Linked DNA regions of Oryctolagus cuniculus. The protein of the gene in region 1 interacts with the protein of each later gene in a biochemical or structural test. Links are inferred from orthologs where the notes say so. Each region holds a gene or a part of one and is shown on either strand. Other genes may lie near its edges.

Region 1 (3,567 bases):
GGAAAGATATAAATTGCATAAAAGAAGTTTGCTTTCCTGCTGTGTGAGTTTCTTGCCGGTTATTGATAGTCATTTGTGGTGATCTTGTAGGATGTACTGTTGTTGCTGTTGGTGGGGGTGGTATGTGTATGTGTTTGTGTGTTTGTAAGGCCTAAGAACATGTTTAGGGAAAGACAGAAAGAAAATATCACACTCTGAATTATATTCATTTAGAGGCAATTAATATTTACATTTTGTTTAAAATTTCCTGGTGAGTCCCTCTTGTTTTCCAAGTTCTTGGTTCATTTTAGGATTAGAGGCTGTGTTCTCTTCCCCGGTGCTGTGGTGTAACTTTCGTTGTTCTGTGTGATAGCTCAGCAGAACCCAGCAGCTCAGCTTCCTGCCAGGCAGCAGGAGATTGAAATGAACCGACAGCAGCGCTTCTTCCGCATCCCGTTCATCCGTCCTGCTGACCAGTACAAAGACCCCCAGAGTAAGAAGAAAGGCTGGTGGTATGCCCATTTCGATGGACCCTGGATTGCCAGGCAAATGGAACTGCATCCTGACAAGCCACCCATCCTTCTTGTGGCTGGTGTGTATGATTCACATGAAAATATGTATATGTATAAACCAAAAAAGGGGTATAAGCCCTCTAAACAAAACATTTTAATATGTAACGTAAGAATTCATTACGTTTCAGAGTTGAGGGATGGAGTTTTGTAGTTCAATCACATTTCCAAGTAATTGAGGACTAACTGATTTATAATGTGAAATGGCTTAGATTAATTATGTCCTTGCAGAGTGCATAAAGAGACTTCTCTGTGTCCTCAGAACCTTTTCACTGGTGTAATTATATCCAGTGATTTGTAATGGCTTCAGGAAGTGTAGCGTTTTTATTAATCCTGATAACTTGCTTTGTCAACTGAAGTGTTTATAAATTTTGGAAGGCTCTTTGATGGGGGACAAACCCAAGTTGCTTCTGGTGAATTTATTTATTAACATTAGATTTCCTCTAATAGAAAGGTAAGTTAGAAAGTTCTCAAGTCTGAGAGAACTGATAGCTATTTCAGTAATATTCACGAGGAATGTTTCTGGGAAGAGAGATGGTAACTTTCTGATGCCTGCTGTATGCAGGTAAAGATGACATGGAGATGTGTGAGCTGAATCTTGAAGAGACCGGCCTGACTCGAAAGCGTGGAGCTGAGATTTTGCCAAGACAGTTTGAAGAAATCTGGGAACGCTGTGGAGGCATCCAGTACCTTCAGAACGCGATTGAGAGCAGACAGGCCAGGCCCACGTATGCGACAGCTATGCTACAGAATCTGTTGAAGTAGATGCTGCACGCTCCCCTGACAACTGGGAGCCCTTGCCACAGTCCTGGGTGGGGTGTGTGCCCGAAAGATGTAACCCTTTCACGATCATGTTAGAATACTTAAACAAAGTGAACAGATTTTATTAATCATTGCCTTTTTGTTAATTTGTTTTAGGTTAATTAAGATTGTGATAGTGAATTTTGGACTTAAAAATCATTTTCCTGTATGCAGCTATGAGTCTTAGGCATCTCATTATTCTAATACTTGTTACACTTGGACAGATTCTGACATTTCTCTTCTTTTGCCAACAGCCTCCTCTAAGTCCATCCTAACTATTCTTTAGGAAAAGAGATTTTTTTTTTTTTAATGTAAGGTACTTGCTTTTTAAGGATGGCACAGTACCATATAACTGGAATAATGAAACCTTAGCTTAAATTTCTGACAAGAATTAAGGCGCTTAAAATGATCAAGGCACTAATGTTTCTGCTCTTAAAAGCTATCTATTTTTCTTTACTAACTTTTTCAAAAATTAATGAAGATTCTGACTTTTTTTCCTCTCTTTTGCATTATGTCTTGGTTTTTGTGAATCTCTCCTACCTAAGTTCTAGAATTCTAGAAAAGCCTTTATGTATCAGATACCTGAGTGTTAGGTGATAAAGGAGGTATTAATGGTATCCCACCCAGATTTGTGTTTCTTCTTGTGCTTTTTATATTCCATGGACAAATCAAAGAAATTCACATTGTTTAAATGTGTAAAAATTTTGAGATATATTTTGTATCTCAAAAAGAAAAGGAAAATAGGTTTTAGGTGGCACTGTGGCATAACTGGACTAACTGAATTAAAATAGTCTCTTCATTAGAATTTTTGTATCAGAATCTTGTCCAAGATGTTTCATACAATTTAAGTTGGTGTTCTGCTTCAGACATCTTTTTTTTTTTTTTTTTTTTTTTTTTTTTTTTTTTTTAATTCCTAGTGTCTCTTTTGGGCTTTGAGATTTTGTTAACTGTAGAGCTGTTTTATAAGCTTTATAATTCAAAAGCTCTTGTATTTAGTAATTGCTTGTTTCATGTAACTGATAATTTAAAAAAGTTGTCTTTGTGTGCTGTTAGTTTTGATCAAATGTCAGCGGTTTCAAACCTAATATTTATGAGTTTCATATTAGGAGATTAGGAACAAAATTACATCAAGGAGTTATGTGGGCATAATTCTAAGGAGACTTGTTTTATTCTAGAATAAAATTAGAGAGTAAAATTATTCTCCGCACCTTTCTTTCTAATTTTTAAAGACTCTAACCTTTGAAATGAAACTTCAGTAATTTCTTTTTCCTAGAAAGAATACCTCAGTTAGGAAAAGATTTCCCAGCTGATCAAATTAGTGTCTGTGAACCACAGACACTGTTTTCAGAGCTTCTCTCATCATATGTGTCTTAGTACAAAGATATTTATTTATTATGATGCAAATGATTATTTGTGTTAAAGAAATTAAATAGTCCTGTCTGTGATATTAATTGAGAATGTGAATGTGATTGCTCCCTGGAGGCTGTACTACTGCATTGACTTCCTTGCCCTTGGGTCATTTGGTCCCTGTGATTGGAGACAAGGTGTAGTTACTGAAATAAATGGTCTATTCTCTCTCTTTCATCCCTTGCTTTCATTGTTGTTTTTATTTGTGTAAGATTGGAAAATGATAAGCTTTGTTTTCTCACCAGTAACAAGTAAAGTCTTTTAAAAATTTAATTACTAAATTGATTTTAATGACTTGTTCTCTCAGTACTGTTTCCAGAAATAGTTTTATGAATCCTCTAGATACATTAAAAGGCACTAGATGAGAAATTAATCAAAAAGGTTAAAGTCATTATAATGAGAACTTTACGTTTCAAACAATTTCTAAAGAAATCTGTCATAGCAAAACACCGTTTATAAGCCTGTAGTTTTTGATTCTAATAATTAATAAAATTATAATCTTAAGCCATTTTGTTTCTAATTATGCCACATGGCTGTCCTAGAACTTACCCATTTAAAATAGTCTCCTGAGTTATAATGTTGGCTACCAGGAGATCTGCCCTAATTCAGACACACTTGGAATAACCTACATAGAGTAGCTGTGCATACACACCCAAGTCAGTTTGGTGGAAAAACTTAGATCTCTGTTAGCCTTTTCCAGTAAATTTCCGAAATGGTGTCCTAAAGGATGTTGATGTGGCTGCCTTACCTTGTATCAGACCCATAAAGGCTTAGTGAAAACTGAAGGATTTGAAAGTAAATTAACTCATAT
Region 2 (4,231 bases), on another chromosome or scaffold:
ACACAGGATGACATCTCTGAAAAATTGTGTTTATAGAGTTCACTGCTCCGTTTACATTTCTTTAGGCACATGGTTATTTCCATTACTTAAAGGTCAGTACTTGCAGTGCTAGCGATTACTTATATTGAGTGTGTCAACTTTTTTTTTCATTCATAAAATAAGTAGGTTGGGACTAAATGACCTGTTGTGATTCTTCTGAAATTCTATGATCATGTACAATATACAGTACAAAACCTGGTTTAAAGATTTCAATATATAGGGAACAAATTAGCAAACACTGAGGTGCTACGGAAGCCAATGACATCTTCAACACGGTGAAGCAAAGCTGAAAGAGGATGCTGCATACTTTATAAGGTGCTTCAATGTTGAATGTGACCTAATTTCTTATCCTTTCTTCACGGGTGACATTGCACATTTTACCAGGGTTTTATGTCAGCGCAGGAATTTGATGCATTGGAGCAGAACACACCTGCTTTCGCGGAGTTATCATTCAAAGCCAAGCTTGCTGTAGGAAGGTAAGAAGTGTAACTGAAGTCAGCACAGTAGAAAGTTCACACGCACAGAACAGTACAAGTACCAAAAGCACTTCACAACAGACAGAAATGCGAGTGAAAGAAGAACTGCTGGAGCGAGAGCAAATGGACTCCGAGAGCGTCAGAACCGCAAAGCTCCTTGAGGGAGGCGAGCTGGTATGGGGCAAAACTTGGTAAAAAAAAGCACTTGTCCACACGGGCAGCCGGGAGACAGCCTCCGCGTTCTAGAACTGCAGCCCTGGCCCTGGGGTCGCTCCCTTCACTTTTCTGATTCTCTGCTGCTGCATCTAGAAAACAGGTGGATTCATTTAGACAGCTTAGGATCCGCTTGGTAACGACTCATAGACCTCCAGGCTACACTTTTCCACTTTGCCGGGAGGTCTATGAGCAAGTTAGAACTCCAAAATGTTTGTTAGGAAAAAAGTATTTACTGGTTAATTCTACGCACCTGCTGCAATCCCAACTGTAAACAGAGGACTGCAGTTTAAGAACGTGATGACTAGAAAAACAAGACCTGCTTACATCTCCAGTGTGTTTCCCCATTTCCTATGTTAAAGTAACAACTCTAAAGATTAAAAACGTAAATCGAAGTGGACCCGGTCTTGTTGCGACTAAGCAGCCGAGCGAAAACAATGAGACGCAACGCAACTGGGGTAGGGGTAGCCCGGCGGCGGTGTAAAGACCCTCCGGGACCCGCTCCAGGGTCGCCGCAGGCCTGGTGGGCGGCGAGCTGACGTGGAGGGGCGGGCCTAACCCGCGCGGCGGCGGAAGGACCCGCCCCACTGGCGGAAGTGACGTCGGCCGGAGCTGGCTCTGAGGGGAGGTGAGCCGGTCTGTGGAAGGAGGCGGTGGTGGCGGAAGAGGTTCGGTGGCTGATGGCGGCTCTGGGTCGGAAGCCTGTCTGACGTTGTCCGTCGGTCCGCAGGCTTTCCGGAGGTAAGGCGCCTTTCCCCGGTCCGCCTCAGCGCCTCGTGAGGGGCAGACCCCAACTGGAGCGCTCTGGGGGGCTCGTGCTACGCCCCTCAGACTCGCGTCTACGGGCCCGGCCGGTGTCGGCAATGGTTTCCGTGGTGACGCTGCTGCCAAATGACGATGCTTTCCCTTTCTGCAGTCACCCCTTCTCTCCCGGACTACGACTTGTGACGGCGGTGTGGGCAACTCGGGCCAGCCGGGGGGTTGGGAAAGCGACGGGCGGCCGCCCCGCGGGGGCGGGCAGGCCCGTGGGATAGGCCTTGGCGACCTGGGGGGCGCGTGTGGGACGGGGGCGACCCGCGGGGTGTCGGGGGAGACGGGCGGAACCTCTGGGGTCCGAGGCTCAGCTCCGGGGCGCGTGTCCTGAGGGCAGTATATGTGTGCGCGCCCGCGGCTAGGTGAGCTTGGTCGTGTCCCGAAAGGACGGCCGGGTTCGCCACTGCGGAGAGAAACCCAGCTGTTTTGGTTTGAGTCGCCCGTGGAGGAGGAGGCGGAGACTCGCGGTGCCGCCTACTTTTGCGGGCCGGGCGGAGCTAGCTGTCCGGGCCAGGTCGGCTGCTCACCCGGGCTGCGGGATCGGCCCGCTCTGCCCCCTCGCCTGGGGATCCAGCGGGGAGTCGCGTCTGTCTCTGCTTAGTCGCCTTGGCTTGCCCACTCCTAGCCGCTGCGGGTCCGCAGGTTGCGCACAAGTCCCGGCAGGCGTTCGTGAACCTGTTCGAGCCTGTGTGTGTTCGCCTTCCTGGTGAAAGTTGCTGGGATACGCTGTGGCGTTGCAGACTGATTTTTGGTTTCATGAAGTAGTTACGAATTGCTGTTGTGCTAAGGATGTAGATGGGGAAAATAAACCGTCCTTCTTCAAGTCTGCTTTCCGCTGATGGGAAAATTCCAGAGAACTGTGCCAGGACAGTTACTAATTATCGTTTTGGCTTTCAGTTCCAGAAGCCTTTAAAAAGATGCTTTGAATAACGTGTTAGTCTAAACGTGGGCCTTTCGTCCTCAAAGTGCCCTTCCAAGGTAGAGGGCTGAGGTCAGGCGCTCTCCTTTGTGCTTTCTTGAAGGATTATTTGATTATGCTAGGACGGACTTCTTATTACACTTCCCGGTTTTTTTGCAACTTGATCGTTAAACTTTAAAAAACATCCTATTGCAGTTCTTGTTTTTCTAGTCATCACGTTCTTAAACTGCAGTCCTCTGTTTACAGTTGGGATTGCAGCAGGTGCGTAGAATTAACCTTTTTCCTAACAAACATTTTGGAGTTCTAACTTGCAGCCTTTTAATAGGATGTTAAATATTAATGAAAGATTGTAACTTTGTTCCTGTACTTCTTTGGAGGAATTACTTAACATGCTTAGTTTACTGGAGTTGCATTCTTTTGGAATGGATACTATGTAAAATTTGGGCTTTATGCACTCTGATTTTTAAATATTTCGCCCCAAATAAGCTTTTAGAAGAACATAAAAATTCCCTAATATATATAAGTAAATATCACTGCATTTTAGAAACCAGTTTATTACATAAACTTGAAAAGTAAGTAAAAATGGTGTGGGTGAGGCCAGGCAGGGCCTGGGAGCACTTAGCTGTAAAGGATTCTGGAGACAGGGTCCTAGTGAGAGTGCAGATTAATAGACTGGAGACACCGCTTCTATCTCCAGAAGTTTGTTGTTAACATCATCTCTGAAGGAGAAGTCTATAAACCAGTTGATAATCTTTAAGTATGAGTAATTGGAGACCATTTGAATACCAGGCATTTTTTTCCCTTCATTCGTTTGTCCTATAGGACTGAAGTTTGGAGATGATTTTAAAGATTCATTATTTGTTTAAATGGGAGTTTTAAAAATTTTCCATAAAAACTCTCTCAACCACTAGCTGAATTCCAGCATTTTTAAAGGCACAAAGTGTTCATATTTTAAAATGCAGTGTATTGCAGTAGGTCATCTTTGGAGTTTTTATTACTAGTCTGTTTGATTTGCTTATTTGCTTTGCTTTTACTAACTTTATTTTGGAAATCTTCAAACATGTGAAAGGAGAATGAACTGTAAGAGGAGGCATATTTTGCTAATTTGTTTCATTACCTCCTCCAGTACCTTTGTTTTTTCACTTGAAGTTGTGCTTTCTCTCTCTAATGTCAGAGTGAGACCAAAAGTGAGTCCTCAAATTCCTGTGACAGATGGGACTGGGCCAGGCTCAACTCAGGAGCCAGGAACTCAATCCAGGTCTCCCACATGGGTGGCAGGAACTCAAATGTTCTGGCCATTGCCAGCTCCCTCACCCATCAGCAGGAAGCTGAAGTGGAAAATGGAATTAGACTGAAATTCATTGGCCCTTTAGCTGCTGTGCCAAATGTCTGCCCCTCCCTTGGAGTTTTTAGAGTCCCAGACCTTGACATTTCACTTAGTAGTAGTATAGTGTACTCTAACTGATCAAAACTTTAAAAAATAGAATCACCATAACCATATTATCCTGTATAACAAAATTGCTTATTTCTTGTTCAGTTTTAATTGTTAGGACTAAAGTAATTATCTAAATTAAAAAGATTAATTTGACTTTTTGTATTAAGTGCATTGAAGTTCTTCATGTATTCTATTTTCTTTATTTTTTAAAAAAATTTTATTTGACAGGTAGACTTACAGACAGTGAGAAGGAGAGACAGAGAGAAAGGTCTTCCTTCTGTTGGTTCACTCCCCAAATGGCCACTCCAGCCGGCACTGCACCAATCCAAAGCCAGG
Region 3 (3,650 bases), on another chromosome or scaffold:
ACTATTCCTGGAGAGCCGATGCGCCTCGTCCCTCCGTCTAGCTCACAGCCACACAGCAAACGAGAGCGGCAGCAAAGAGAGCTTGCATCACACAACCCTTTGGTACCGCACATGCACTCTGCTAACGGATATGTGGAGAAGACAATTCACCTTAGCAGTCCTTCTGCCTCTTCCTGGTTTGGTACTTTGTGGAGGTGGGATAATGGCTATGGAGTCATGTGGTGAGGACTGGACAGGGCTTTCCAAGTCCTGCTTTACGCCATTCTGTACGGATTGTCCTTGGGGAGGGCTTCCCACAAAAGGGTTCGGGGAGGATTGGATATGGAAGCCGTTCTGTTCTTTTTCAGATACCCCATTGTGAGTTCTCACTGCTGGCTGGGTTTGCGTACTGGAAAAGGGCCATGGGCCTGCCTGAGATTCCTGTTTGCCAGTCCGGTTAGAGATCTGGTCAAATTGCTGACCAAAGTAATCAACATCGCCATTCAGGGGCCCGTTACTCAGGGGAGCAGGCAAGCTACTCAAATTCTCTTTCTTCTGATCTGGAGGTTTGAGAGAATCAAACGAAGAGGGTGTCGATTGGTCGGACTGTGCAAAAGGATCATCACGGAAAGGATCAGGATTAGGGGTGGGAAAGAAGTTGAGATTGGCAGAAAAGGCATTTTCAGGCAAAAAGGTTGCCTGAGGCTTTGGTCGAGGAAGAGAGCAGGAGGTGATGCCATTTGTTAAGAATGGATTTTCTCTTAAAGAATTCTGATTGGTGTCGATTTCAGAGTTTAGATCCACTAACAGGATATCTTTGCTTTCCTATCACATTTGGAAAGAAAAAAAAAAAAAGAAAGAAAGTGTTAGTCCATGTTATGACTTCAAACAAGAAAACTACTTAAGATGACCAGGGCTATCAACATTCCCAGAATTTGGTTGTGACAAACTGGTTGACCATTACCTCCTCCCATCAATCTGCTGAGTGCATTTACCAGCCATAGACCAGGTCTCCCCCAGCCCCTTTCTTGCTTGATTAAGTCTCGTTTTTATTAAATCTCAGCTTTCTGGCCCTTTATTAAGTGAAATCTTACTGTTGTTTCCTTCAATGTCTCTGCTTATTCTGGTCCACATATACAGACTGGCTGAGTTTGTTATCAGCATTGTTTTAATTCATGCCTTTTAAAGTCTTAAAGGGACTGGATTGTGAGTTGCTCTAGGTATGGTAAGCTTGAAAATCACAAGTAACCTGAGCAGCCTGGCCTAGTTTCCTGTCTGATGTATACATCTTCCTATTGTAACCTCACAGTCTAGTGTACTATTGCCTCACTAATTGAGAGAATTCATTGGTTAAGACATTCATATTTTATAGTTCTGGTATGTGATGAAGTTTAAGATCAAGTACATTTCCCTATAACTGTTCCAGTTCTTCCAAGAAAAATAGTATGATTATCCTTTTATACCTACAGGTATACCTCTTTAAAGATTTCAGACTCCAAGGGAATGTGTTAGCTAAGCTGGATCTCTCATTCTTACCGCCTGAGTCTCTCCTCTGGACACATCCTTTTTGTCTACGTCCTTCTATCAGATCAACACAAAATACTAATCTAATCCAGCACACATCAACCTCTCCTATGTGTGCACTTTCTTCATAACAGAGCTTAGAATGGCCTGTGTTTTGACAGTAATATCATCTACTTAGTGGCTAAAGTTGAAGAATCACTAATCTTTAATTTATATATATTAGAAATGTGGATGTAAAAGTGAATTAGAAAGATAAATCAAATGTCCTGTTTCATCTCTAGTATTTTTTTGGTGTGTCAATTGGCTTCTCAACTGTTAGATAAAAAAATCCTTAGCATAAAAGCAACCAATATGATGAATCTGGCATGTCATGATTCCTAATTATGACGTAACTCAGTATGACTCACTGTGGGAGAGTTCTCATACTCACAAATGCTCCTCTGACTTTGATCCATTAACTATTTAATTAAGCTCAGCATAGAAGAATACAGACAATAAAAACTCCCTACTGGAAGTAGTATCTAGACTAGACATTTGACATTACCCCTTGCAGAGTAGCACATATTTTGATCACTGGGAGAAAACGAACCTCAAGAAAAGAGGAGATTCTCAAAACGGGTAAGTACAACAAAGGGCTCAAACAGGCCTCCTCAGCTTTTAGAGAAAATAACGCTTTTTGTTTAGAAACAGCAAAAATCAGACCTAATTGTATTACATTTTTGTGCTTCCTTTATTGTGAGGCATAGAAACACATTCTTAAAAGCCAGTTTTTCTTTATAACAGGAAGAATTTGTCACTAGAAAGACTTTATAATTTAAACTTTTTTTTTAAAATCAAAGGCAGGGATTGGAAGACCTCTTAATGCATATATCTTTATACAATCTTACAAAAGCTTGTGATTTCAATATTTATTCCTTTGTTATGAGCCACCTCTGGGTTAGAACCGTTGGGTGTTCACAGCTGGTAGAGTTCTCCTTTTCAAACACTTGAGAAGAAGTTCTTAGGACACCAAACAGGAGGCACAATGTTAGACTTCTGAATAGTCACCCTATAAGTAAAATGTATAAGGCTCTCCTCAGGTTGGGTTTGTTGGTAGTCAAGACTAAGAGTCTACTTCACAGGCTGCAACTGCAAGATGTGAGACCCTCCGCACCTTTCCCCTTGACCAGAGCTTCATGGATTCCTTATTGGACTGTCAATCCTTGCATCTGCTTGGCCACCATTTGGACACCTGAGAGACAGGCACTGGAGACTGGAAAGTGAAAGACTCTACTCTTGAGGAGTTTTACGAAGGGGTACAGGAGGCAACAGCATGTGTCACTCTGACTTCCACAGCTAGCTCTTCTCTGGGTAGCCAGTCTCTACTAACCACTCAAAGCCTGCGAAATCTAACTCTTCCCTTCTCAAAGCCTTTGATGGCTTCCTACTTCTCCTTACATTAAAACAAGCTTCATTAGGGCAACTTCCAAAATGATTCACAATAGAATCCAAGTTGTTTATAGCTTAATTACTGTCTCATTTCGTACACCCTTCAAAGACCCAACTCAAATTCAGATTCTTTACACAATCTTTTCTCATTGATCTTTCAACTTCACCTGTTCCCATTCCATGGCATCTTATGGAGTATAGACGAGTGTACACACAATGTTTGAACTTTGTGCCCTGATCCCATCCCTTGTACCAGATTTAATCTCCTTAGTGATGGCTCATGCATCACACCGTTTTCTCATAGTAACTGTGCTCTCACATGGTGAAAGTTTATACGTAGAGATTATGTCTTTTTCTCCCTTCCCCCTCCCTCTTTTCTTAGACTGTCTCCCTCTCTTCCTCCCTCCTTTCTTCTCCTTCTCTTTCATTCTTGATACAGTGTGGAAGGATAATGCCCAAACATTTTTCCAATAAAAGTTATGTTCTAAGGGATGTCACTTAATTTGCAACATGAGCATTATTTAAAAGGTGTGAAACTTTCCTGTATAAAGGTGAGGGGAGTGACAGCCATCTGGAACTACTAATAGCACCTGGGTGATTTAGAGTTCTCTCTCTTATCACATCTTCCAGAGTAGTTGTTATGAGTTGAATATTTCTGAACATGCTGATTTTACCAAGAAAAGATAAATATCTACTTGTGACCCATGAATATGGAGTCA

The links.
Region 2: the proteins of MYO6 (region 1) and TAX1BP1 form a complex in vitro, tested with the Homo sapiens proteins (5 studies listed by BioGRID, with this or other methods). The link is inferred for Oryctolagus cuniculus from reciprocal best matches to the Homo sapiens genes MYO6 and TAX1BP1.
Region 3: the proteins of MYO6 (region 1) and DAB2 form a complex in vitro, tested with the Homo sapiens proteins (7 studies listed by BioGRID). The link is inferred for Oryctolagus cuniculus from reciprocal best matches to the Homo sapiens genes MYO6 and DAB2.

Annotation. Positions count from the first base shown.
Region 1 is NC_091436.1:96,517,245-96,520,811, reverse strand, and holds the end of MYO6 (unconventional myosin-VI), read left to right. Parts: intron 1-352; coding exon 353-571; intron 572-1,113; coding exon 1,114-1,313; 3' UTR 1,314-2,933; downstream 2,934-3,567. UniProt on the Homo sapiens protein: Myosins are actin-based motor molecules with ATPase activity. Unconventional myosins serve in intracellular movements. Myosin 6 is a reverse-direction motor protein that moves towards the minus-end of actin filaments.
Region 2 is NC_091447.1:19,317,384-19,321,614, forward strand, and holds the start of TAX1BP1 (tax1-binding protein 1), read left to right. Parts: upstream 1-1,309; 5' UTR 1,310-1,469; intron 1,470-1,996; exon of another isoform or gene 1,997-2,721; intron 2,722-4,231.
Region 3 is NC_091445.1:64,778,928-64,782,577, forward strand, and holds part of DAB2 (disabled homolog 2), read right to left. Parts: intron 2,707-3,650; exon of another isoform or gene 2,625-2,706; intron 2,122-2,624; exon of another isoform or gene 1,986-2,121; intron 805-1,985; coding exon 151-804; intron 1-150. UniProt on the Homo sapiens protein: Adapter protein that functions as a clathrin-associated sorting protein (CLASP) required for clathrin-mediated endocytosis of selected cargo proteins.